Linked DNA regions of Notamacropus eugenii. The main gene of each other region encodes a partner of the protein of the gene in region 3 in a complex. Links are inferred from orthologs where the notes say so. Each region holds a gene or a part of one and is shown on either strand. Other genes may lie near its edges. The genes, in order: CNOT6L, CNOT6 and CNOT11.

The links.
Region 1: CNOT11 (region 3) and CNOT6L share a complex: the UniProt entries of both Homo sapiens proteins name them as parts of the CCR4-NOT complex. The link is inferred for Notamacropus eugenii from reciprocal best matches to the Homo sapiens genes CNOT11 and CNOT6L.
Region 2: CNOT11 (region 3) and CNOT6 share a complex: the UniProt entries of both Homo sapiens proteins name them as parts of the CCR4-NOT complex. The link is inferred for Notamacropus eugenii from reciprocal best matches to the Homo sapiens genes CNOT11 and CNOT6.

Annotation. Positions count from the first base shown.
Region 1 is NC_092878.1:148,694,418-148,702,441, reverse strand, and holds the start of CNOT6L (CCR4-NOT transcription complex subunit 6-like), read right to left. Parts: upstream 3,440-8,024; 5' UTR 3,339-3,439; intron 1-3,338. UniProt on the Homo sapiens protein: Has 3'-5' poly(A) exoribonuclease activity for synthetic poly(A) RNA substrate.
Region 2 is NC_092872.1:415,725,483-415,733,731, forward strand, and holds the start of CNOT6 (CCR4-NOT transcription complex subunit 6), read right to left. Parts: upstream 3,451-8,249; 5' UTR 3,328-3,450; intron 1-3,327. UniProt on the Homo sapiens protein: Poly(A) nuclease with 3'-5' RNase activity.
Region 3 is NC_092877.1:174,373,930-174,381,415, reverse strand, and holds the start of CNOT11 (CCR4-NOT transcription complex subunit 11), read left to right. Parts: upstream 1-4,145; 5' UTR 4,146-4,183; coding exon 4,184-4,679; intron 4,680-7,486. UniProt on the Homo sapiens protein: Component of the CCR4-NOT complex which is one of the major cellular mRNA deadenylases and is linked to various cellular processes including bulk mRNA degradation, miRNA-mediated repression, translational repression during translational initiation and general transcription regulation.

The DNA.
Region 1 (8,024 bases), on a different chromosome or scaffold from region 3:
GAAGGGACCAGTCCAGTGCTCATTCTATTGCACTACCTGGCCACAGATTTCTAACAAAAGTATTAGATGTCCACATTAGCATCACAAAATTTAAGACATTTTTCTCATAAATAGTTGCTTTTTATATGGCCCCAGGAGTCTTCAGTCACATTAACATCCTAAGTTTAGTGAATTTCCCTTTCCCAAAACTTAAACATTTTTGTCTTCTAGATTCACAGTAACTACAATGAAATGTGCTACCCAAAAATGGAAGGGGGAGAAAAGCATTTACAGAATGTAATTGAAACAGCTTATTTAAAAATGACTTATACTAACATACAACTAATTCTAAGATCAAAACATTTTGTTCATTTAACGATTGTTATAATTCTTTGTTATTAATAGTTTTGAGTAAGGATTCTCAATTCAGAATCTAAATCTACTCTAGTTAACTTTTTAAAAATTATATAGATTAACAGAAGTCTGTTGCAATTTATAATAAAGCCGCTCCAGCACGCTGGTCAGAAATGGAACGCAAAAATAGTATATTGCAACCTCAATGGTTTTCTGGATTAACAAAAATATCAATTAATGTTAATGCTACTAAGGCCTAGTCTTGTTTTGAAAATCACTGGTGATTCCAACACAATAATCTGTTTACATTCCCCCTACACTAATAACCTTTCTTCTCCCCCTTCAAAAACAAAAAAAGTACTTTTCAATTAAACAATCAGATCCCTGAAATTCAGCTAATTCAACCGAACTCTTCTAACAATTTACAGAAACTATTAATGTTCATTCGATTCCTTATGGTATACATACCAAAAAGGACAAGTCACTTTTAGCTTTCCTGATGAGGTAGGGAAAGAGGAGCAGGAAAGAGAAAAGGAATACGCCATCTATTTAGTTACCAGGTACTGCGCTAATCACTTTTTACAAATATTATCTCACAACTTTTGGTGTTGTACAGTTGTTCAGCCATGTCCAAATCTTTGTGACCCTATTTGGGATTCTTTTGGAGTGATTTTGCCATTTCCTTCTCCAGTTCATTTTATCAATGAGGAAACTGAAGCAAACAGGGTAAAGTGACTTGCACACATACCAGTTACACAGTTAAATGAGTCTTCCTGACTCCAGGCCCAGTATCCACTGTGCCACCTTGCAACAACTCCCAACTACCCTGTTATCCCCATTTTACAATGAGGAAACTGGGGCAAACAGCGTAAGAGACCTACCCCAAGGTCACATAGCCAGCAAGTGTCTGAGGCCACATTTGCACTCAGGTCTTCTGATTCCAGGCCCAACACTAGCCCTCTTGCCACTGCTGTCTCTCATAACTGAATGATGGTATATTTTCAATAAAAACTAAAATCTTTCAGGATTTTCTGACTCAATGACCGTGAAGGTGAAATAGTGCAATTACCTACATTATTTCTCTTCTTGATGCATTTGTACATTATGGTATGTAAAAATAAATTATTTGTTATTTTAAACTTTTAATCAGGCAGCATTGTATAGTGGAAGATCTGGATTTAGCTCAACCTGACATAAACTAGCTCTGTGATCCAAGAGTCAATTAAACCTCTCAGAGCTATAGACAATTATTGGTCTAAGAGTAAGTTGCAGATAAGGTACCAGATCTCTGCATTGGAGAGAGGTAATTTCCTCACCTGGGAGTTTTCAATGTCACTGACATCACAGGTTCCATCCCTATACCTTAAGGGCAGCAGTATTCTGATGTTTTGGTCTTAAGACCTCTTTACTTTCTTAAATATTAAGGAACTTCTCCACAAAGAACTATTGTTTATGTGGATTATATGTATTGATAAACACTTCAGTAGTAGAGTGAAAAGAGTTTTGACAGCATGGACCTCCTGAAAGACTCTCAAGAGTCCCGGTTAAAAATCAATTTTTCCACAAAAAATAAGTAAAAGGAATAAGCAAACCAATAAATGGGGGTCCAGAAATAGAAAATGTTTAAAATTAGACTTTTCTTCATCTGGAAAAGGGTGTTAAAATAGACTAAAACAATACTTTAAAGACTTTCAGACGACCTTCTAAAAAAGTTAAGTTCACAGAAAAATACATGCTAATCCAAATATGACAACAACTAAATCAGTACAAGCTAGGGTTTTTTCCCCAAAACTGCTACCACTTCACAACCAGATAAATTAAAACTGATACTAGGTTTCAACACAGTATGCGACAGACACGAATACTAGCATTCATACAACGTGATATATAATACTGTCAAGAACTTAATTCAAACCCTGCCTCAGATGCACAAGAGCTGCATGACTCTGGGCAAGTCACTTCGCCTCTCCTTGTTTCCTTAACTGTAAAATGAGGCCAAGAGCACCACCTATTGGAAGGGTTGTTGTCAGGCTTTCTACAGAGCTGGGCACCGTGCCCGGCACACAGTAGGTGTTTTATAGGCATATATAAATTCTTCATTTCTTCCCTATTCCCCCAATAAAGAGAACATGACTCAGGCCAACAATAACTAGCCACTGCTACTTGGGGAGGAAAGCTGTCTGCGGTGCGGTAAGCCGGACGACACACTAAACCTCTAACACCAGTGGGGTCTCACCCACAAGGTCTGGGCATGAAGCCCCCGGCCCCTCCACAGCCCCGAGAGCCGGGAAGCGTCTTCACCACAAAGCTCGGACCCGGGAGCGGACGCTGACCACCGGCCCCGAGGGAGGGGCGGCAGAGCAGGTGACACGCACCCCGGGCGTTCCCCCTCGGACCCAGGCCGGTGCTTGGGGCACTTTAATCTCAGCACGCTGCGAGATTGGACGAGAACCGAGCAAACACCACCGTGCGCACGGAGGGCCCGCCGGGGCGCCCGCGGGGCCCGGGCCTCGGCCGCCCCTCGCGCCCCGCCGGGCACGGGGGCTCCGCGGGCACCAAGCCCCGAGGGCTTCCCAGAGCGCGCTTCCCCTTCGGTCCCGCTCTTCCGCTCCCCCGCGCCGTCCGGGCGGTTAGGCCGCGGTGCTCCCCGGGCCCGCAGACACGCGTGCAGCAGCCACGACGGCCGCGGCCCGCCCCGGAGGCTGGCTACCTGCGCCCCCGCGCCACACACGCACCCACACGCACGCACGCGGGGGGTGTAAACAGACAGCAGGCCGCCGCCTCCATTACACGCCCACGCGCGCTCCCCGCCGGTCCCAGGGCCAAACCGCCCTCCCGGCCCTCCCCCGCCCCCCGCTCCCGCAGCCCGCCGTACCTCGCGCCCTCCTCCCCGGCTGCCGTGAGCGCCGGGCCCCGAGCCGGGCACGGAAGGGCGGGCGCGCGCGCTCCCCGCGCCCCCCCCGCCCCGCTCCCCTCCCCCGCCCGGCCCCCAGCCCCCGCCTCACCTGCATTCAGCGCGCCGGGCTCCGGGCGGCGGCAGCGGCGGCGGCGGCGGGGCAAGCGGGGGAGGCGGCGCGGCGGCGGCGGCGGGGACGGCGGGGGCGGCGGGGCTGAGGGCAGCCAAGACATGCAGGCAGCCCGCCGGCGGGGACAGGCACCGGCCGGGGGGGGCGCGGGGCGGCCGGGCCGGGCCGGGCCGGGCCGTGGGGAGGGCCGAGGCGGAGGCCGCGGCGGGGCGGCCCCGCTCCCAGGGGCTCGCGGAGGCGGCTCGGCGGGGCCCGGCGGCGCGGGGCTTCGCCTGCTCGCTGAGGCCTCGGCGCCCGCCGCTGTCCGGTGCTTTCTCGCGCTCACGCGCCGCCCACGTTCTGAGTCCTCAGACCGGGGGAAGAGAGGAGGCGACCCCAGCGCGAGCTGCGGATGGAGATTCACAACAAGGTGCCGTGTGTGGGAGGAGGGCTGATTGACGTGGAGGGGCTGGCGGGAACCGGGCACGCCCCCGTGGCTCGGCCGGGGGCGGGGATGCGCCTGCGCACGGCCTGGGGGCGGGGCTGCGCCTGCGCGCAGGGGCGGAGAGGGGGCCTGGCCCAGCCTCTTCGCACCTCCTCCCTCCCGCCCCCCCCACGCCGACCTTCCGGTTGTTTGCAAGCATTGCGGGGTGTACGCGCGCCCGGGGAGGGAGGGGGGAGAGGCAGAGCTGAGATCACCCCGCCATCTATTTTTACTGCGAACTGTTTACCGCAGTCCCTTCCGAGGCGGGCCTCGGCTGGAAGGGCCGCGGAGGGGGACGGCTCCCGGGCTGCGTGAGGGCCCGGGATCGGGCTGGTCCCAGAGATGCTGCCGCGGCTGGGATGGGCCGTGGGAAGGGTCGTCTTACCTGTGGGAGCTCCCCCCACCTCTCCCTCCCCCGGGAGCGCAGGAAAGTCTGCCCTGCCCGGCCCTCTGATCCCCTTAAGTGTCGAGATAAAGCGCCTGCAAGGGCCAAGATTACCCAACCAAGTCAAGAAGCACTTATTGAGCGCCTACTGCATGCCAGGCACCTCCGAGCCCTGAGGATGCAGACAGCCCCTGCCCCCAAGGAGCTCACAGGGGAGACAGCAGGCAAGCAGCATCCCTTTAAAGTCAAGAAGCACTCATTGAGCGCCTACTGCATGCCAGGCACCTCTGAGCCCTGAGGATGCAGACAGCCCCTGCCCCCAAGGAGCTCACAGGGGAGACAGCAGGCAAGCAGCATCCCTTTAAAGTCAAGAAGCACTCATTGAGCGCCTACTGCATGCCAGGCACCTCTGAGCCCTGAGGATGCAGACAGCCCCTGCCCCCAAGGAGCTCACGGGGGAGACAGCAGCCAAGCAGCATCCCTTTAAAGAAGCACTTATTGAGCACCTCCTGCATGCCAGGCACCTCTGAGCTCTGAGGATGCAGACAGCCCCTGCCCCCAGAGAGCTCACAGGGGAGACAGCAGGCAAGCAGCATCCCTTTAAAGTCAAGGAGCACTCATTGAGCACCTACTGCATGCCAGGCACCTCTGAGCCCTGAGGATGCAGACAGCCCCTGCCCTCAAAGAGCTCACAGACCAAAGGGAGAGAAAACATGCCAACTGTGCACAAACAAGCTGCATACTGGGTGATGTGAGTGGCCCAATAAAAATAATTTTCATTCATTTTCACTCGTTTGTGAGTGGATGTCTTTTTCTTTTTCATTGTTTTAGTTTTTGACTGACCAGCTCTTTTAGGCAATACCCCATTATGGTAAATCAGTTTAGGGGCATAATACTGCCATTCAATTCAGATCTGAATTTAAGCACATTTTGGACGTCAGCTTTGGAAGGTTAATGCACAGGGACTGTTGTGATGTTACTTAGTACACTGGTCTCATTGTGTTTCTTTCAGTTAATCTTAAACTTTATTATTAGGTGTAAAATGCATTTGCCTCTCTTCATTAATAAAACATGCTTTGCAGGTGCAAATCATTAACCAGAGCTCAAGGAATATCATGTCCATCATTGCTCAGGTCCAACTGTTCCATATTTTGCTTTCTTTCAAGCATGTGTTATGGAAAAAGCCCTCAGGACAGAGACGGGAACAGACACTTTTTCCCCATTACTGAACTTAACGACTCATCTTTTAGGTTCTTGGAGCTACCAGATGATACTAGTGTTGATCCAGGAAAATTAGCCCTCCAATCCCCAACAATCTAGTTTGAAAGAATAAGAAATATCACTGTTTGGATTTGCAAACAGCAGATCTGAACAAATCATTTCAGAACTGGAGAATTGAATTCCCTATTCTCTCTAAACCATTGCCACACTTCTCATTTTAAAAAGAAAAACAGGACAAAATACACATACCTGAAAGCTACAGGTCAGATTTTGTTTAATCTCATCAAATTTTTCATTTGTCATGGGACAGAAAAGTCAGGCTCTGACCCCTTCTCACTCTTAAGCATTGTAAGTAATTGTTTTGTATCAGCTAAAATAGGAACTACTAAGTGGTAACTACAATAGTTAATAAACTCTTCCCCATAAAGTCTTTTCATTGCCAACATTTTCATTCACCATGTAACATCTAGCCCACCTAACCCTGTGAACTGACAGGCTGTCTTGGAGAAGATTGAGGAAGACAAGTTGATTATCCCAACTGCAAATGCAAATATCCATTACATTTTTTCTTAATAGAAGGCAAACTCCTTGAGAATAGGGTCTCAAATTCCATTTCTCTCTCTTCTCAATCCAAAGTCACTCCACAAATCAGGAGTCATATCTCCTTCATGTATGCTATGTGCAATGTCGTGGGCTTGGAGGTCTCTCAGCCGTTCAGAAGTCATTCATTGCATTGTGGGTCTGTCCTTCAGGGGACCCGCTTCTGGCATTCAAATGTTCTAAAAGTAATTACAAAGTGATTTTTAAAGGGGCAATTAAGATAGTCAAGGAAGGCTTTCCTGAGAAGATACATAAAATCGCCCATAGTTCATCTGAAAAATTCTCCAAAGTATGCTTACTCACAGGCAAACTTATTAGGTTTCTGAACTATGGGGAATTGATTCATTTGCTCTGATCCTTTACAAATGATCCTGGATTTTAGTGGAAATGCTCTGCAGCATTCTAGAGCTTGATGAAATCCCTATAATGTCATTCACAAAGAGGAACTCTAGAACAGGGGTCTTCAAAAGGAGGTCCATGGCTCAACCAGTGTGTGGTCAGCCAAGCTCCCTGTAATAGACAATCCTTGTTTCCAATAGTACACTTTCCATTATCCCTGAATGCTCTCCCAATCAGCCCCTTTCCCATTCTGGACAAGATCCTAACCTCTTTGCCTTCTGATGGGCATCAGCCACTCTCCTAGCACCCACAGCAGAGCTGGTGACGAAACTGGGAGGTTTAGGGAAAGTCTTCATAGAGGAGTCGGTTTGTCAAAGGGAAACTAGTGTTCTGAGAATTCACCTTTCCAGGGGAACTTTGAGTAATGGTAGGGACTAACTTTCCACCTGTCAGATCTAGTTCCTAGCATCTAGTGTTAGTTAATCAATAATTAATAATAAATATAGATTCATTTGGTTAATATTAATGAATACAAATGTATTTGGTGATTTCTTTTCCAAAACAGTTTGATTTTTTAAAAATATCTTGACTAAATTAACCAGTTCTTGTAGTGCTGTGAAAATGTGCTGTGTATTTCATTCTTTAGCTCTGAAATGGTATCTTCTCTCCCTTGTTACTTTCCTCAGTTCTCGTTAGCTACATGGCTAATGTAGCATTCCGTCTGGGGCCACTCCCCCAAATCCACAGTTACCATGGCAGATTCTTAGCTGGGAAATTGCTGTCTTGGATTCCAAAGATAATCCAGTGCTACCTGTTCTCTTTACATAGTCGTTCCAGAGTCCCCCCATGTATGCTCTGTATCAATAGTCAGCCAGTAGTAGCCTCCGTTAGTTTTTAGAAAAGGTGTCTACAAAGATAATGTTGGTACAAAACATACTTCCTACTCTCCAAGTCCAGGGAACCCTCATCCTCATTGAGAATGTCCATGAGTCAGTGGGCTTAACCTCAGAGTAAAACTGGATTGAGGTACATGAGTAGAGAACATAAATGATATAGGAACACCTCCCAACTCCTTACCCTGTAAGTCCTTTTCTCCCTTCTTGGAGTCCTCCTGAAGGCCCACTTAGGTCAACTTTTCCTTTCAGCAAGGTGGGTTATTGAGCCAGGCTCCCAGGATCTAGGCCTATCTTAGGCCTATCTGAAGTTTAAAGCCCTCAATTCTCTCTACTGAGAGCAGTCATCTTTCCTGAATCTCTCAGTCCTTGGGGTGTCTCACTACTCCCAGTTCAGGTAATTCTGTAATCAGCCACTGCCATACCTGTTGATACTACTGCCACAGTAGCTGCAAACTTCTAGCGCTTTCCAACGTCACCAGATCACTTCCCGCCCACTACCATCTTGGGATATTTGTTTAACTCAGATCAGAAAGAACAAATCCAAAGTGATGGCAATGGCTATGGCCATGTGCTCACAACCACCGTACCTTGGTAAATACATGGCAGCATCCCTTCTCCCACCTGACTGTGAGGGGCAGCTCAAAGCCAACCTTACTCACTCATAGCTACCAAGGAAAGAAGAGAGGGAAGGAGGGCCTTCTGTTCATTATTTCCACTTTGTCCTTATACGTAGCTAGTTTGTGTTTAGTTATTTGTGTGTT
Region 2 (8,249 bases), on a different chromosome or scaffold from region 3:
ACAGTTGAATCAAGTCATGTAGTCCTTTTTATCTATGCAACTTATGTTTATGTCTTTTCAAAACAATCATTCCTGGGCAAGGGAAGGGAGATGAAGAAAAGTGAGTGCATTCCCCTCAGTGGGAGACCTTCCCTCCAGGTCTTTTAACATTATGTAAGCACTTGTACAGTTTGAGTTATCACTCAGTCTCACTATATAACTAGCTTACTCCCTTTTCCCATCCCGGCCATCTTTCCAAATTTAAACTTCTTTTGAGGAAGAAATTAAAGAAATATGTCAGTAATAATGACTTTTCTTGACAACTAGAGGTCTGGAGCTACAACTGCAGTTTTGTGACAACTAACTCACAAGAAAATTTAAAAATATAATTACCCCAAAATCCCAAAATTATTGCCATTAAAACTAATGGTGCCAGATGGCCCCTACTAAAACGTTTTTTTTCTTTCAGTATTGCATGTAGGATATATGTATCTATAAATCTATAAGTTCATAAATACATGGAGGATACATGTATCTACAAACCTCAATGTATCAATGGCAATATAATTTTATGCATTTAAAAACTATATATATATAACAAGAAACAATGAGTTCTTCTACATTAGCAAATGATTTCAGGGTTTTTCCACTGAATAAAATTTCATTATAGAGTTGGAAGTTTTCCTAACCAACTCTGCCTGATTAACTGAACAATGGGCAGTAAGAAACTTCTGGACTTTTATAATCAGTTAATGAAGTGTTTGCACTTGACAATATAGTATATAGGATAAAATGTAATGAGATTGCATCCTAAGCAGATACACTGGGAGATATAGTCTAATATAGCTTAAGCCACATTTGGAATTGCTATCAAAATCAGTTAGACACAAATAGTCTTGTTCTTTTACAGTCACACCTCTGAGTAAAAAACGGAATTACCCAGTTGATTTACCTACCTTATCCATCACACTCAGTGACTCTGAGAGACTTTTGGCTATTTTCAGAAAATAACTTGACCCTCAAAAGGTAGAAAGAATGAATACTGAATTAGGAATCAAAAGACTAATGTGATACTAATTAATGTGACTTTAGGTAAGTCACAATATCTTTGGGCCTCAGCGCTCTCATCGGTAAAATAAGTCAGATTATATGCTTTTAGGCGTCTTAAAGCTCTTTCTAAAAAAAAGCCCAACTTTACAATTCTAACTCAATGACGAAGAATTGCTACCACTTGAGTATATTTAGAACTAGATGTAGAATTAAGAAAAACCCCAGAGATAATCTAAAAATGTTTGAAGCAACAGAATCATCACTAAAATACAGAATTTTCCAAAGTACCTCGTAAGAGACATAACTTCTGTTGTTTCTACATATAAGTTTTATTATTTTTTATAAGCTTTTAAAAACCTCAGTCATATTTCATACTTAATTTTTTTTTCACCTTTATTCCTCTGTGAATCAGAGTCCAAAGAGAAAATCTAAAAATTTCGAGAATCCAAAGTGAAAAGAAAAGTTTTACTGGGCCTATACAGCCAAGAGCAACGTAAACAAAATTAATGTAAATTTGGACATACTCATGTAACACATGATTTATTTCTCGTTGCAAATCCCAGAATGTCAAGATGACCATTTGAAATATGGTTAATTCTTCTGAATTAGTTTTCATAAGTCAGTTCTTGATTCTAGGTCCAATTTCAAAAGAGAGGGAAAGTGGATTCAAACTAGCATAATAATAGATAGCTATCTTTTAAAACTTAACTCATACTACTAGAGAGACAAATTACCCCAACACACAGAAATACAACCCAGGAGGACCTGGGTTCAAAAATTCCACCTGGAGAAACTATTTGTTGTATGACCTTGACAAGGAATTTACTTTATCTTTACTTCTCTGCAAAATAGAGATAACAGCATTTATCTCTCACATAGTTGTTATGAAAAAGGCAAGTGAAAACTTAAGTACTCTGCAAACCATACAGCACTATATGTTTCAACTACCTTATGTTCCAACTGCATGCAAAACTTGTGTTCTAAAGTCTGAATCAAAACACTGAACTTGTAGTCTGGATCTGCCACTAATTCTTTATGTGACCTTGTGGGCAGGCCACTTAAGTTTCCTCGCCTGCAAAATGAAGGGGTTTGGACTACAGATAGGATCTTTTAGGTCCTTCCAGCTTTAACCCGCTAGGGCCGATAAAAATGTTCTAAAGTTAGTATTACTGTTCCAGTTAATCACTTTTTAAAGAAATCTGCTCCCATGAATCACCGGATACAAGAATATTAATATAAAACATGCATACACCCATCTCCACATGACGCCAAAACAAATACAATGTCTACCCCTGAAAATCAAAGTTACACAGGTTATCCAAATTATTTCATCCTGTTACAAACGTAGTCTACTTAGTTTCTCCTACTAGCTGGATACAAAATTACTCACTGATTAAAAAAAAACAAAACATCCCCAAGAAGCAGGCATGTTCTTGGAGTTATCCCAAAGAACGGAATTGGAAGCAATCCTCTACTGTTGATTTCCTGCATGTGTAAGCCTCCCCGTCTCAGCCACTTACCTGCTAGTCATCTTAAGTCCCACCCACCTCCCTTCGGTTTCCCTGCGCTTCTGTCAATCAAAGCCCTAACTCTCTTTCCTGATGGTTTCTGACTCAGCCTCTGACTGCTTGCTGCCGTGGTGGCTTTTTTTGGTGCCAACTAGGCCTCAGCATCCCGACCTGCAGCTGCAGCGACACTAGTTGTTGCAGATTCTTATCACAACAATCGACAGCTCTGCTTGAACGAGCAGCTCCGCGGTGTGGGGGTTTTCCTCCCCACTTTCATGGGACAAAAAAAAAAGTTGTGGTTTTGTTGTTGTTGAAGTGTGGGTGCTTCCACGCTGATGGGGAGCGGGGGAAGAGGAAAAGAAAGAGAACTCGCCCCCGGGGCTGAGATGAATGAAAAGAAACGGAGCTCGAGGTGGGGAGGAGGAGGAATAAGAGATGGAGGTGGCAGCGAAGACATCCAGGGTGCCCAGCCTGGGGCGCGGAGCGTACGTGCGCCCCTCGGCCCGGGCTGATCAAGGATGGCAAGTTTCGGGGCAAGACAACTTCTCCCGGGCGAACAGCTGCTCCAGGAGTGGGGGGGATCCTGGGGGTCAGGAAGAGGAGCCTGAGTGCCCGGGAGCCCCGCGAGGGCAGCCCAGGCCGCCTGCCCGTCCCGGCTCCCCTCCCCCTCTGCCCCCTCCCTCCCCCCCACCGCCTGCCACCCTCCTCCTGCCCCGACCCTTCCTCAGCCTCGGCTCCTTCCCCGGCCGGCCCAAGCCGAGCTGGGGGGTCCCGGCTCCCGAGCGCTTACCTCTCGGGGTTCGCCTCCTTCCTCCGCCTCCTCCTCCTCCCTGTGAGTGCAGCGGGGTGTGACCTCTGGAACCACCATACCAGTCCCCCCAGCTGCCGCCGCGCCGCCGCCGCTGCCGCCGTCGCCGCTCCCGCCTCAGCCGCCGCCGCCTCAGCCTCAGCCTCCCGCGGCTCTTTGTTCCCTCCGAGGGCGCCGCGGCCGCCCGCCCGGAGCCCGGCCGCCGCCGCTACTGCCTCCACCCGCGCCTCCCCTCCGCCGCCGCTTCTTCTTCGCCACCGCCCTCTTCGCCTTCCCTGCCGCCGTCTCCTCCTCGTCGTCGCCGCCGCCGCCGCCGCCACCGCCGCCTCCTCCTCCTCGCCCCCCTCGTTTTCATTGAAAGCAAACAAGCATCATGGCGGCGGCCGCCGTCCCCAGCCAGCGAGAGCCCACACAGCGGTCCCGGCTCCCAACATCCCCGCCGCCCATTGGCCGCGGGCTCTGGACGCGACCATTCGGGGACCAGCTCGGGGAACAGCACAACAAACGCCTCTGCCTCCCCACTCCCCCCGCAGAGGGCTGCGGTTGAGCTGGCCTGCCCCGTTCGCTCCCTCCCCTTCTTCTCTTCTCCACCTTTTCTGGCTTTCTTTCCTTTTCTCTTTCTCTTCTCCCTTCTTCTCCCTCTCCTCCTTCTCTTCTCTCCTGTTCTGTTCTTTCCTCTCCTCTTTATCTCTCCTTTTCGTCTCCTCTTCTTTCTTATCTCTCTCCTACCACTCTTCTCTCTCCTCTCCTTATTCTATCTCCTCTCCACTCCCCTCCCCTTTTCTCTTCTCTTCTCTCTCCCTCCCTCCCTCCCTCTTCCTCCTCCTCCTCTTCCTCTTCTCTTCTCCTGCCCCCCAACCTCTTTTTTTCTCTTTTTTCTTTTATCCCCTCACACCCCCACCCTCTTGGTTTTGTCCCATCCGTACACACTCTACTCACGTGTAGCAGAAAGAAAAGAAATCAGGAAACCTGAAGCTGACACTTACTAGCCCCCTGACCTTGGGCAAGTAAATTCACCTCCCAGCCTCAGTTTCCTCCCTCTGTCCAATAGGGATAAATAATAGCTTTCACTCCCTACTTCCTGTATAGCCTGGAGCTTAGTAGGTGCTTAGTAAATGCTAAATGACTGATAGATGACTAGAGAAAATACTTTGTAAACCTGAAAGCTGCCTATAAATGTAAATTATTATTGCTTCCTTTTATCTCCCAATCCAGATTCTTCGTAGTAGGCTATTGCCCCCAGGTCATTCCCTCTGCTTCATCTAAAGGGGCCTCACAGACCTGCTTTCTGCCTGTACCCCTGCCTTGATGCTTGGGGACTCTAATGTCTGCTATTATTTCTTCACATACATGAACCTTCCACTTTATCAGCCTCTACTCCCAGAACTGTAATTTTGCTTCACCTCAGCTGCACAAAAAAGGTCATAAACTTGTTCTCCCTATCTCCCATAATTCTTCCAACTCTATTATCCAGATCTGAAATTCTTTCTTATCTCATAACTCCCTATCCTTCCATTCCTCACTGAACTTCACACCTAAAACTATTCTGTGTCATCTCCTTGCTTTCCCAGTGGACCTTTCCTTCTCTGGCCCACCTTAGCAATGTAGTGAACTACTCCTTTCCAATTTACAATCTAAGTATGCTCTTCTTCTACCCTTGTTTCTTTTTCTCTGTCCCCACTCACACCTTGACTAACCCCAATCCCCACCTTTTCTACTCCCATTCTAATGATGCTAAATAGAAGCTCCTCTATTAATTCATGTTACATAACCTCAACCCAGCCCTCACTGCTGTAAGACAATTCTTTCATTCCTCTCTGACTTACATTCTCTTATAGTCTTCACAGAGTATACTCTTCCAAATCTCTCTTTAAATCTCCTTCTACTCTGTCCTTTACCAACCACACCTTGGCTGAAGACAGTGCCTCCTACTTTACTAAGAAAATAGAGGCATCCATGGAGAACCCCCATTTTTTTCCTTTTCTAGATATAAAAACTGATCTATATCATCCCCCATTCACTGTTCCTTTGCTGCAGTATGACAAAGAGATACCTCTTCTCTCCAAAGTTGACCCTTCTCTGGGTACCCTTGGTTCTATATCCTTATTTCAATCATCCTCTTTATTTAATCTTCAGTCTATCTTTATCTTCCAGGTCCTTCCTAAGTATGCCCTGTCTTCCCTAATCCTTTAAAAGAAAAGAACAAAGAAAGAAAGAACCCCTTCACTTCAAGCTATCTATATCTCTCCTCTCTTTCATAGCTAAATTCCTAGAAATAGCTGATTGTCTCCACCACCTTCCTCCCACCCTTTTCTCAACCCTTACCAATCTGGCTTCCAACCCCACCACCATACAGAAACTGCTCTTGCCTAGGTCAGATGGCTGTTTGTCATTCTCGTCCTTCTTGACCTCTCTGCAGTTTGTTTATTTGGGTTTGGTTTTGTTTTTTACACTTCTGGCCACTTCGTGATTTTGTATACTGTCTCCTCCCTCAACTTTCATGACCCAGCTCTTTCCTAGTTCTCTTTCTCATCTAACCATTCTTTTTCATTCTTTTATGATATAGCATCTTCCATGATTGGCCCCCCTAACCATAGGTATTCCTCTAGATGCTATCCTGGGCCTTCTTATCAGTTCCCATTGATTCAGTTATCATCACAATGCAGTTGATTTTTCAAATCTATAGATAGAGCTCTAATTTCTTATTGAGCTCCAGTCCTTTATCACCAGTTGCCTGCAAGATATCTCCAAAAATATGTCCCATAAGCATCTCACATTCAACATACTTACAAAAGACCACATTAACTTCCCGCTCATACCTACATCTCTTCTAAACTTCCTCATTTTTGACAAGTGTCACCACTCTTCTAATCACCCAATTTTGCAACGTCCTAGTTTTGACTCTTCCTTTTCCCTCATCCCCTATATCCAATCAGTTGCCAAATCTAGTTGATTTTCCTCTACATTATCTCATAAGACCATCTTCCCGAAAAGGACTTAATGCATATCCTAATTCAGGTCCTCATCACCTTTCACCTAATCTAATTGGTCTTCCTACATCCAACTCTTACCTCTCTTCAATCTACTCTCCACATAGCTGCCAAACCAATCTTCCTAAATCACAGGACTGAACACATCACTAACCTACTCAAGAATCTGCAGTGGCTCCCTATTGCCTTTAAAATAAACTCCTCAGTATGATATTTAAAGCCCTTCAGATCCCACCTTTCCAGTCTTATTTTTCATTATTCTTCTTCATGTACTCTATATTCTAATCAAACCAGCCTACTTATTTCCCTGAACTCAGCACCCTATATTCTACCTCCATGGCTTGCATAGGCTGTTTCCTATTCTTGGAATGCCTTCCCTCTTTACCCCTCCTCTTAGAATCCTTAAATTCTTTCAAGGCCAAGTTCAGATGCTACCCCCTATAAGAAGGCCTATGGCAGACTAGTGACAGATCTAGGCTCAAACATTTAGTAGCTCTGTGACCCTGGGCAAGTTTCTTATCCTCTATCTCAATTTCCTCAACTGTAAAATGAGGATAATAAAAGCACCTACCTTATAGTTTTGTTGTAAGGATGGATCAAAAGGTATTATTTGGAAAGCATTTAGCACAGTGCCTGGTACTTAGTAGATACTCAATAATGGCAGGTTTCCTTCCTTTCTCACTAATGCTCACTTTCTTCAAATGATCTTGCCTTTACTTATCTGTGTACATATTGTACTCTCTCCCACTAGGATTCAAGGAAAATTTCAATTGAATGAGTTTTTATTATCCATCTGCTACTGCTGTATACTTTGCTGGAATTTTAATTTTGAAGGCAAAGGACTTTTTTCCTTTAATCTTTCTATCCCTAGTACCTAGCATCTAGTATATCACCTCTTTCTCTTCAGAATCAGAGCTGAAGTTTGGTAATCAAAGCCCTCTGCTGCTGTAGGAGAAACTGAGACTGGCAGATCTCTTGAGCACTGCAGTTCTACACTGTAGGCTAAACTAATTGGGTGTCCGAATTAAGTTTGATATTAATGTAGTAAGCTGCTAGGAGTGAAGTCCACCAGGCTTCATGTGCTCATCAGAAACTGAGCAGGTCAAGGCTCTTGAACCAATTATAATAACGGACCTGGGGTGGTCAATGGCTCCTCTTCCAGCCTGGGCAAGATAGGGAGACCTAATCTTTTTTTTAAAGCATCACAGTTCAACTCTGTGTGTGTTTAATAAATGCTTATTGAGTTAAATTGAATTTTTTTCTCTCCTTTCTTCTCTTCTCCAAGTTTCTTTATTCCTCCTTTCCCCTTTCCTCCCTTCTCCACCCTCCCCTTTTCTTCTCCTCTATTCCTCTCCTTTTTCCTTACCACTGCTCTCCCCCTTCAACTTTCTGCCTTTCTCCACTTTTGTCGTTTTCTCCCTCACTTCTGCCTCTATGAATCCCTGATTTCTTGTCTTCTCAAGCACCAAGAATTCAGTATTCATGCCCTAGGTGAGTCACGAACACCTTTTCCCTGTTCCCTGGTTTTACTGCATTGTGCTGATAAGGCAGCTTGGAGGAGGTGGATACAAGCAGGCTATTACCCTGTGGGACTGGAGGTATGGAAGGTGAGTAAGAAATGGATGATAGAATGCTTGCTTATTTTAATTCCTTGTTAATTAGATTGCAATCTACTCTAAATGAATACCCGTGCTCCTTATTATGTTGTCAAATTTGTCTAATTCTATATAGGTAAGGGTCAATTCAGCTTAGGTGCCCACCTCCAACATGATCTGCTAGGCCTCTCCTTCTGAAAGTTAGCTTGTATTTATTTTTTTATATGTTCTATGATTATGTGTGTACATGTCATCTCTCCAGTTGGAATGTAAAGTCCTAGAGGGTAAGAACTGTTTTTCTTTTGTCTCTGTATTACCA
Region 3 (7,486 bases):
TCTAATTTTGATTCTGATATTTATAAGCTGTGCTCCCATGTTCATCTGATATTCAGTCTCAGATGAGAAGTCCTCTGGTAATTTGTGCCTTCTGTCTCCTGCTGTACCTTGAACAAAGGCTGCTAGGGGCCAGCTCAACTTACCTTGGTGCCAACTTGATTTTCCCCTGCCTGAGACTTCTACCTCCTGCTTCACCTGATCTCCAGGCTTGGGTGTGAAAAGTAGCACCATTCCCTTTGGACAGGCTTTCCATCACCTGCTGCAGCATCTCCTGCCTAGCCTTTGGAGCCAAAGAGGAGGAGTAAAATGAGACCTCCTATCTTCCCTTCTAACTATGTGCCTTCCATCTTTTGCTGCTTTTGTCTCCTGCCTGATATCTAGCAGATAATTTTCAGATCTACCTATCTTTCCCCAACCTCTCTGTTGAGGAAAATTAATATTGTACTATATTATTTAATAATTAATATTTCTCTGTGATACATGCTTTTCCTCATTTGGACAGATCCCATTTCTGAAAGACAGGCCGTTTCTGAAGGGTATGATCTTGATTAAGATGAGCACTCCCAGCCCCAAAGCATCTGCTCAGTAACCAGACTGGGCAGGGCACCTTGCCTCTGTTTACCCCATAAGCACAGAAGTCAGCTTGAGCCCTTGTTTTTCCTGACCAAAGTTAGGGATGACCTGGTCTACCTGACAGAGACCCAATCAGAGATATTTGACTGAGATGACTTATGTTTTTGTAGCTAAGATTACTAGAAGCAGCTGGATCTCATAAAACAACTAGCCTCCTCTAAGTGTCAGAGAGGAGGTAATCAGCCACATCTGAAAGCCAGCCCTAGCTTCACATTAACCCTTTCACCTGAGGACTGGTCCTTCCCTTGGGGAAAGGGGGAATGAACTCATAGGAAGGTGTTGAGAACTATTTACAGCCTCTTCATTAAAATGTCCATCAGTTACAACTGCCACAATGTCAGATGTAATGAAATAGCAATATTATCAGGGGAGGGCCAAATGATGTACTGTAAGGCCAGTCAGAAGAAAGACACACCTGGGTTTAAAAAGCCCTGTCACTCTAAATGCACTCTTTTGGCACCATTGGAGGCAGACCATAAGAACCCTTTACTAATAGGTTCTGCACCCTATTAATAAATGATGTCTTGCTCAGCAAATTGCCTCAGTTTACCTTTTGTTAAATTTCAATCAAGACATTGATGACTTCCAGCCTTTTCATCTCCAATTGGCATTCAGATATCTCCAGCTTGATGTCCAGGAGACACTTTTAATTCAATATATCATTAGCTTTCCCTGTAAATACTCCCTCACCTCATAACTTTCCTGTTATTATCCAGGGCAATATCTTCTCAATCTCCTCAGTCTACTCACTATCTTTCACTCCCCACTCACTACACACCATCTGTACTCAAGGTCTATTGATTTCAGCTTTGCAACATCTCTTGAGTATATGTTCCCTTCTCTCCTCTAACGTTACCACTCCTCTGGTGCAGGCCCTCATCACTTCATTTCTGGACTACTCCAATAGCCAGCTGGAGAGTTTGCCCTCCTCAAGTCTCTCCCTATTACAATCCATCCTCCAAACAGCTATCAAAGTTATTTTCCTAAAGATCATATCTGACCTTATTAAACCCCATCCCCAATAAACTCCAGTGGCTCCCTATCACCAGAATCAAATGCAAAGTCCTCTATTTAGTATTCAAAGTTCTTTATAAGCTACTGCCTCTCTCCCCCAAATTTCCAGTCCTCTCAAGCCTTATCCTCTGCCATGTAATTTATGATCCAGGGACACCAGCCTCATTGCTCTTCCAAAAACAAGACACTCCATCTCTTGGCTTGAGGCATTTTCTCTGCCTATCTCCCATGCCTGGAATGCTCTCCCTCCTCATCTTCACCTACTGACTTCCCTGGCTTCCTTCAAGTCCCAACTAAAATCCCATCTTCCATAAGGAATCTTTCAGAAAGGCTCTTAATTCTAGTGCCTTCCCTCAATAATTTACTTCCTTGATGTTCAGGAATGGTTTGCCATTTCCTTCTCCAGCTCATTTTACAGATGAGGAAACTGAGCCAAATACGGTTAAGTGACTTTCCTAGGGTCACACAGCTAGTAAGTGTCTGAAGCTGGATTCACATTCAAATCTTCATGACTGCAGACTGGGCACTCCATCTACTGTCCCACTTACCTGCCTTCTTTTACTTCCTACTTATCCAGTGGGTGCTCTAGCCAAAGGAATGTAAATTTTGATTGCTGAAACCTTGCAAGATATCTTGGAGTTTACAGGCTAGTTTTTTTTTTCTCTTCTCTACTTATTTATTCTAAATTTAAAAAAAACACTGAGACAATTAATATTTTTTGCCCCATATCGTTTCATTTACGATTTCTTGAAATACAGCACTGGAAAGAAAAAAACTGGCTTTGATAAAACCCCTTGGGCTTCCAATTGAGCTACTTGACCATGCCTTAAACCCAAATCACTTTGGCTGTCACTGATTGGCCAACAGTAAGTCCTAGTCCAAGTCTCTCTTGGGCCTTGTTTGCAGTTTTTATAGCTCAGAGTAAATAGCAATATTTCTGTTCTGAACTGAAAACCCCGAGAGTGTTCCCCTCCCAGACTGATTTTTTTTTGAGTAGGTGAAAGCGGCTGATTTTTGGTCTCATTTCTTCACTAGCCTTAAACATTGATTGGGGGTTGCCTGGGACAGACTGAGACCTGGGAAAGACCTTAATTAAAAAAGGCCAAGATCTCCCACTACATCAGGGGCCACCGCCAGTCATTTGGCACTGGACCCAGAGGGCTCTGGAGGAGAGAATGGGGCTGGTGACTTTGCGCAGCCCTGTCTCACTTCAGTCCAACTCCCTTGCAACAAAGGACAAACCACTTATCCTGTATGGCTTATTTGCATATTTTCCCCATTAGATTGTGAGCTCCTCACAGCCAGAAGTCTTTTGCCTCTTTTTGTATCTCCAGAGCTTGGCACATAGTAGGGGCGTAATAAATGTCCTGACTTTGACAAAGCAGCTAAGCTCTCTGCGATTCAGATTCCTCATTTGTAACATGGGAATAACGCCTGCTGCACAGGGTTTGTGGGGAGGTTTACTGAGGTCACATTTCTTGCCTCCAACTCAGGGCCTCAAGAGGTCTGTGTAACGGTGTCGGCACTGAGCAGGGTGACCTCAGGCTCTCGGCGTCCTTCACTGTAAGATGGGTATAAACCCTCCCAATGCCAGTGTAGGAAGCTCCAGGATCCAGCTGTCATTAATGAAGGAGGGCCATCCGCAAGCCTCACAACAGCGTGTAAGAGTGAGCCGGTGGCAGAGTTTAGCTCCAGCTAGGACCTGGTTCTCTCAAAATTAACGCATTTTCCCCAGTTGCTAGGTGGTGCACCGCAGTCAGGAAGACTAATCTCGTAGAGTTCAGACGCTTACTGGCTGTGTAGCCCTGCTTGTCTCAGTTTCCAATAAGCTGGAGAAGAAAATAGCAAACCAAGAAAACCCCAAATGGGGTCACAGAAAGTTGGACGTGACTGAGCTGACGGAACAGTAAGACAGGAAAAAAAATGACAAATCATTCTTCCAGCCAACAGGGGCGCTCAACTGCGGCTCCACTGGCACACCCAACTGCGCAGCCGCTCTCCTCTTCCCTCGGAATGGAGGAAGTCGTTGATACCAAGGGGCCCGACTCGCCCCCGCCTCTGCCCGAGGCCCCGCCCCTGGTCCCAAACCTTCTCCATTCTTTCCTAAGTCCCACTCCTTCGCCCTCTCTTCCCAGGACCCCGCCTTTTTCTTTCTGGCCTTGCCCCATCTCCTACTTTCTCTCTTCCCAACCAACCTTATCCCCTCTGTTCCATCCCCTCACTCTGAGCACGTCCGTTCCATTACGTAATCTCCCTAGCTCCTCCTCCCCTCCGCCTCTCCGTCTCCTCGATTCCAGCCTGTCTCTCTTCTCTTCCCAGCCGTAGGAGCGATGCTTTACGACACTGTCGTCTAACGGCGGGTCTTTACGGCAGCGACCGGCGGCAGGACGGCAGCGGCCGTGGCAGCGGGAGCGGGAGTTTGGGCGTCAGTGGGGGCGGCAGTGCTGGACGGAAGCGGAGGGGGCGACGGATCCGAGCGTTTAGGCCAGGCCAGGGCCGGGGCGCGGGGCCGGAGGCGGCGGCGGCGGGGGGGTTGATGCCCGGCGGCGGGGGGAGCCCGGCGCCCTGCAGTCTCCTGGCCGCCTCGGAGCCGCGGGGGGGCGAGGAGGCAGCGGCGGCGGGGCCCGGCTCGGGCGGCCCCGGGGGCTCCTCTTGCGGCCCCGGGCTCGGCGGCGCCGGCGGCGGCCCCGGCGGCAGGATGAGTCTGACCCCGAAGGAGCTCTCCAGCCTGCTGGGCATCATCTCGGAGGAGGCCGGGGGCGGCAGCACCTTCGAGGGCCTGTCCAGCGCCTTCCATCATTACTTCAGCAAGGCGGACCACTTCCGCCTGGGCTCGGTGCTCGTGATGCTGCTGCAGCAGCCGGACCTGCTGCCCAGCGCGGCGCAGCGCCTCACGGCGCTCTACCTGCTCTGGGAGATGTACCGCACCGAGCCGCTGGCTGCCAACCCCTTCGCGGCCAGCTTCGCACACCTGCTGAACCCGGCGTCCCCGGGCCGGGGCGGCCAGGAACCGGACAGGCCGCCGCTCTCAGGTACGGAACTGCCACCCGGCCCCGCTCCGGCGCGGAGCGTGTCCTGGGGCGTTGGAGCGTCTCGGGGGCTATCTCGGCAGGTGTGCTAGTGGGCTGTGAGCCTGTCATGGCCCCCCCTTGGCTCTGTGTCCTGGGCGACTGAGCCTGTCATGGCCCCCCTTGGCTCTGTGTCCTGGGCGACTGAGCCTGTCATGGCCCCCCTTGGCTCTGTGTCCTGGGCGGCTGAGCCTGTCATGGCCTCCCCGCCCCCCACCGGTGTTCTCAGCTGGACAGTGAGGAGTTGTGCTGCCCCATCAGGGGCAAAAAAAAAAGTATGCTTCAAAAAGCATTGCTGTATAGTTTTAGGATTTGTCAGTAAGCATTTATTATGTACCTATTTATTAATTACCTATTAGTAACTATCACAGGCACTGAGGATCCCGAAATAAAATGAAGCTTTCAGGGAGCTTGTATTCGTTTGGGAAATTAACAAATGCAAATATAATTAAATATAAAACTTATACAAAGTAACTTCCAGGAGAGTAAGCACTAGCAATCAAAAGGACCAAGAAAGGCTTCTTGTAGGAAGTGGTCCTTGAATTTAGGAGAGTAGAGATTCTGAAAGAAGAGTGGAAGTGACGAGGTTGTAGATTCCATCAATAGGTGGACAGTCTGGAGGTAGAGCATCAGTCTCAGCAAGGAGGTCAGTATAGCTAGAATAAAAAGGAGAAATACGTAACATCTGGAAAGCTAGCTTGTGAAGGACTTGAGTGCCAAAGGGAGGAGTTTTTATTTTAGACTAAAAATAGTAGGGTACTAGTAATAGCTACCCCAGCTTTTTGAGCCAGGGAGTGACATTGTCAGGTCTAGATTTTAAGAATTTCACTTTAGCAGCTGTGTGGAAGTTGGAGTGGAGAAGAATAACTTTTATTTGAGTTAATATGAAACAAATTGGCTCTGCTGTAACTTTTAAGTCCCACGGAGGAATGGATAAACAGGTTAGAGGATTTCAAGAGAATTCTTTTAAAAGTGTACTTGTCCAATTGTGTGTCCTAGTGGAAATAGACCTGGACTAGGAATTAGACCAGTATTCTAATCCAAGCTTGTTGCTTATCTTTGGCACCTTTGACCAAGCTGCTTCACCACTTTGGACTTCAGTTTCCAAATAATTTCCAAAATGATTGAGACTAAGAGACCTCCAAAGTACTTTCTAACCGTAAATATTAAGACCTTAAGTTTGAATAATAAATAGTCTGCTTTTCTAGCCTTATCTCAACCAAGCTGAACTACTTTTTCCCATTCTCTTTCTTGATAGTTTTTATGTAAAGTTTTCAAATCATTTTCATTATCTGTAGTTTTAAGTCTAATCTTCATTCTAAGCATTATATGGTGAGAAGGTAGGGATCATACTCAAGTTCATCTTGTCTAAAGTAGATTACTGCATGCCATATATAAAATGAACAGCTATGTAGCAAGGATAAGGATAGATCACCTGGGGCTAGGTTCAGGTGTTTTCTTTAAGGAAAGCTGCTCAACAGAACCAGGAGAACATTATATACACAGTAATAGCCACAGTGTGTGAGGACTGTTTCCGATACACTTAACCCTTCACAGCAATGCAAGTAGAGCACATAAAAGATTGCATGCTATCTCAGGGAGGGAGGGGGAGAAAAGTTAAATCTTGTGGAAGTGATTCTTGAAAACTGAAAACAAATTGAATTTTCAAAAAAAATGTTTTTAATCCCTCAAAAAAAGGGGGGGGGGGAAACTGGTCAATATCTGGGCTTCTTATTTAAAATTTGAGGGACTTTGGCATCTATGAGATTTAGACCCTAATAGTATGAAGCAGAAATTATAGTCCACAGATGACTTTTCTGGGACTAAAAGCCCCTAGATCCAATGTAATATCCTTTTGTACAAGGAGAGATGGTAGGAGTGGTGCCTTCTCCCTTCAAGCCTATATGAATTATTGGAGGCAGTATGTTCAAGTGGAACAGGAAGCTCTAGATTCACATTCTTTCTCTGACACTTAGGAGCTGTATATCTAAATTAGTTAATCTCACTGAGCCTCAAGTTCTAAATCTGTAAAATGAGAGTGATAGTACCTGTAACTTTACAGTTTCATTGTGAGAATCAAAGATCATATACACAACAGATTTGGAAACCTTAAAATGCTTCATGCATTTTATAATAGGCACTTAATACATTTTTTTTTATTATTTGAAGGGACTGGAAACAAGTAAAACATCTTTTATATATTATATTCCTTCTTCTTCTTTCACCCCTTACCTTAGAAATTGTGACACCAGTATGGACAACTCACCTTTTGCTTTTTGGAAACTTTCATGGGCTGCCAGTGATCTGGCTAATGCTCTTGAGCTGTGGTTTATGAAATTCCAGTATTAATCTCACAATATGTAGCCTTCCTTCTTCCACTTTTTTTTTCCCCGACAGGGTACTTCAGTCAACTAGAATATCTTTTACAAGTCAATGGGTCTCTGACTTTGAAGATCATTACTGTATTGGGAAAAAGAAGAATAAATCCTGCAGGTGCCACCAAAGTAATAGCTATATTCTTAAATTCAAAAATAGAATTTTTAAAGGAGGACAAGGACTTTAAATAGTATAGAATTCCGAATAAGCCGGGACAGATGAGAACAAGAATTCATTTTTTAAAATTTTACATTGAGAACAGACTTTGATGAAGATGGTAGATTTCCATGACATCTGGCCTTAAGGATGTTCTAATCTATCCTTTATAGTACTTTCTGTATATTTTTCCTAGTACACTCCTCTAACTACATCAGCTCTTTCCACTCAAAAATTTG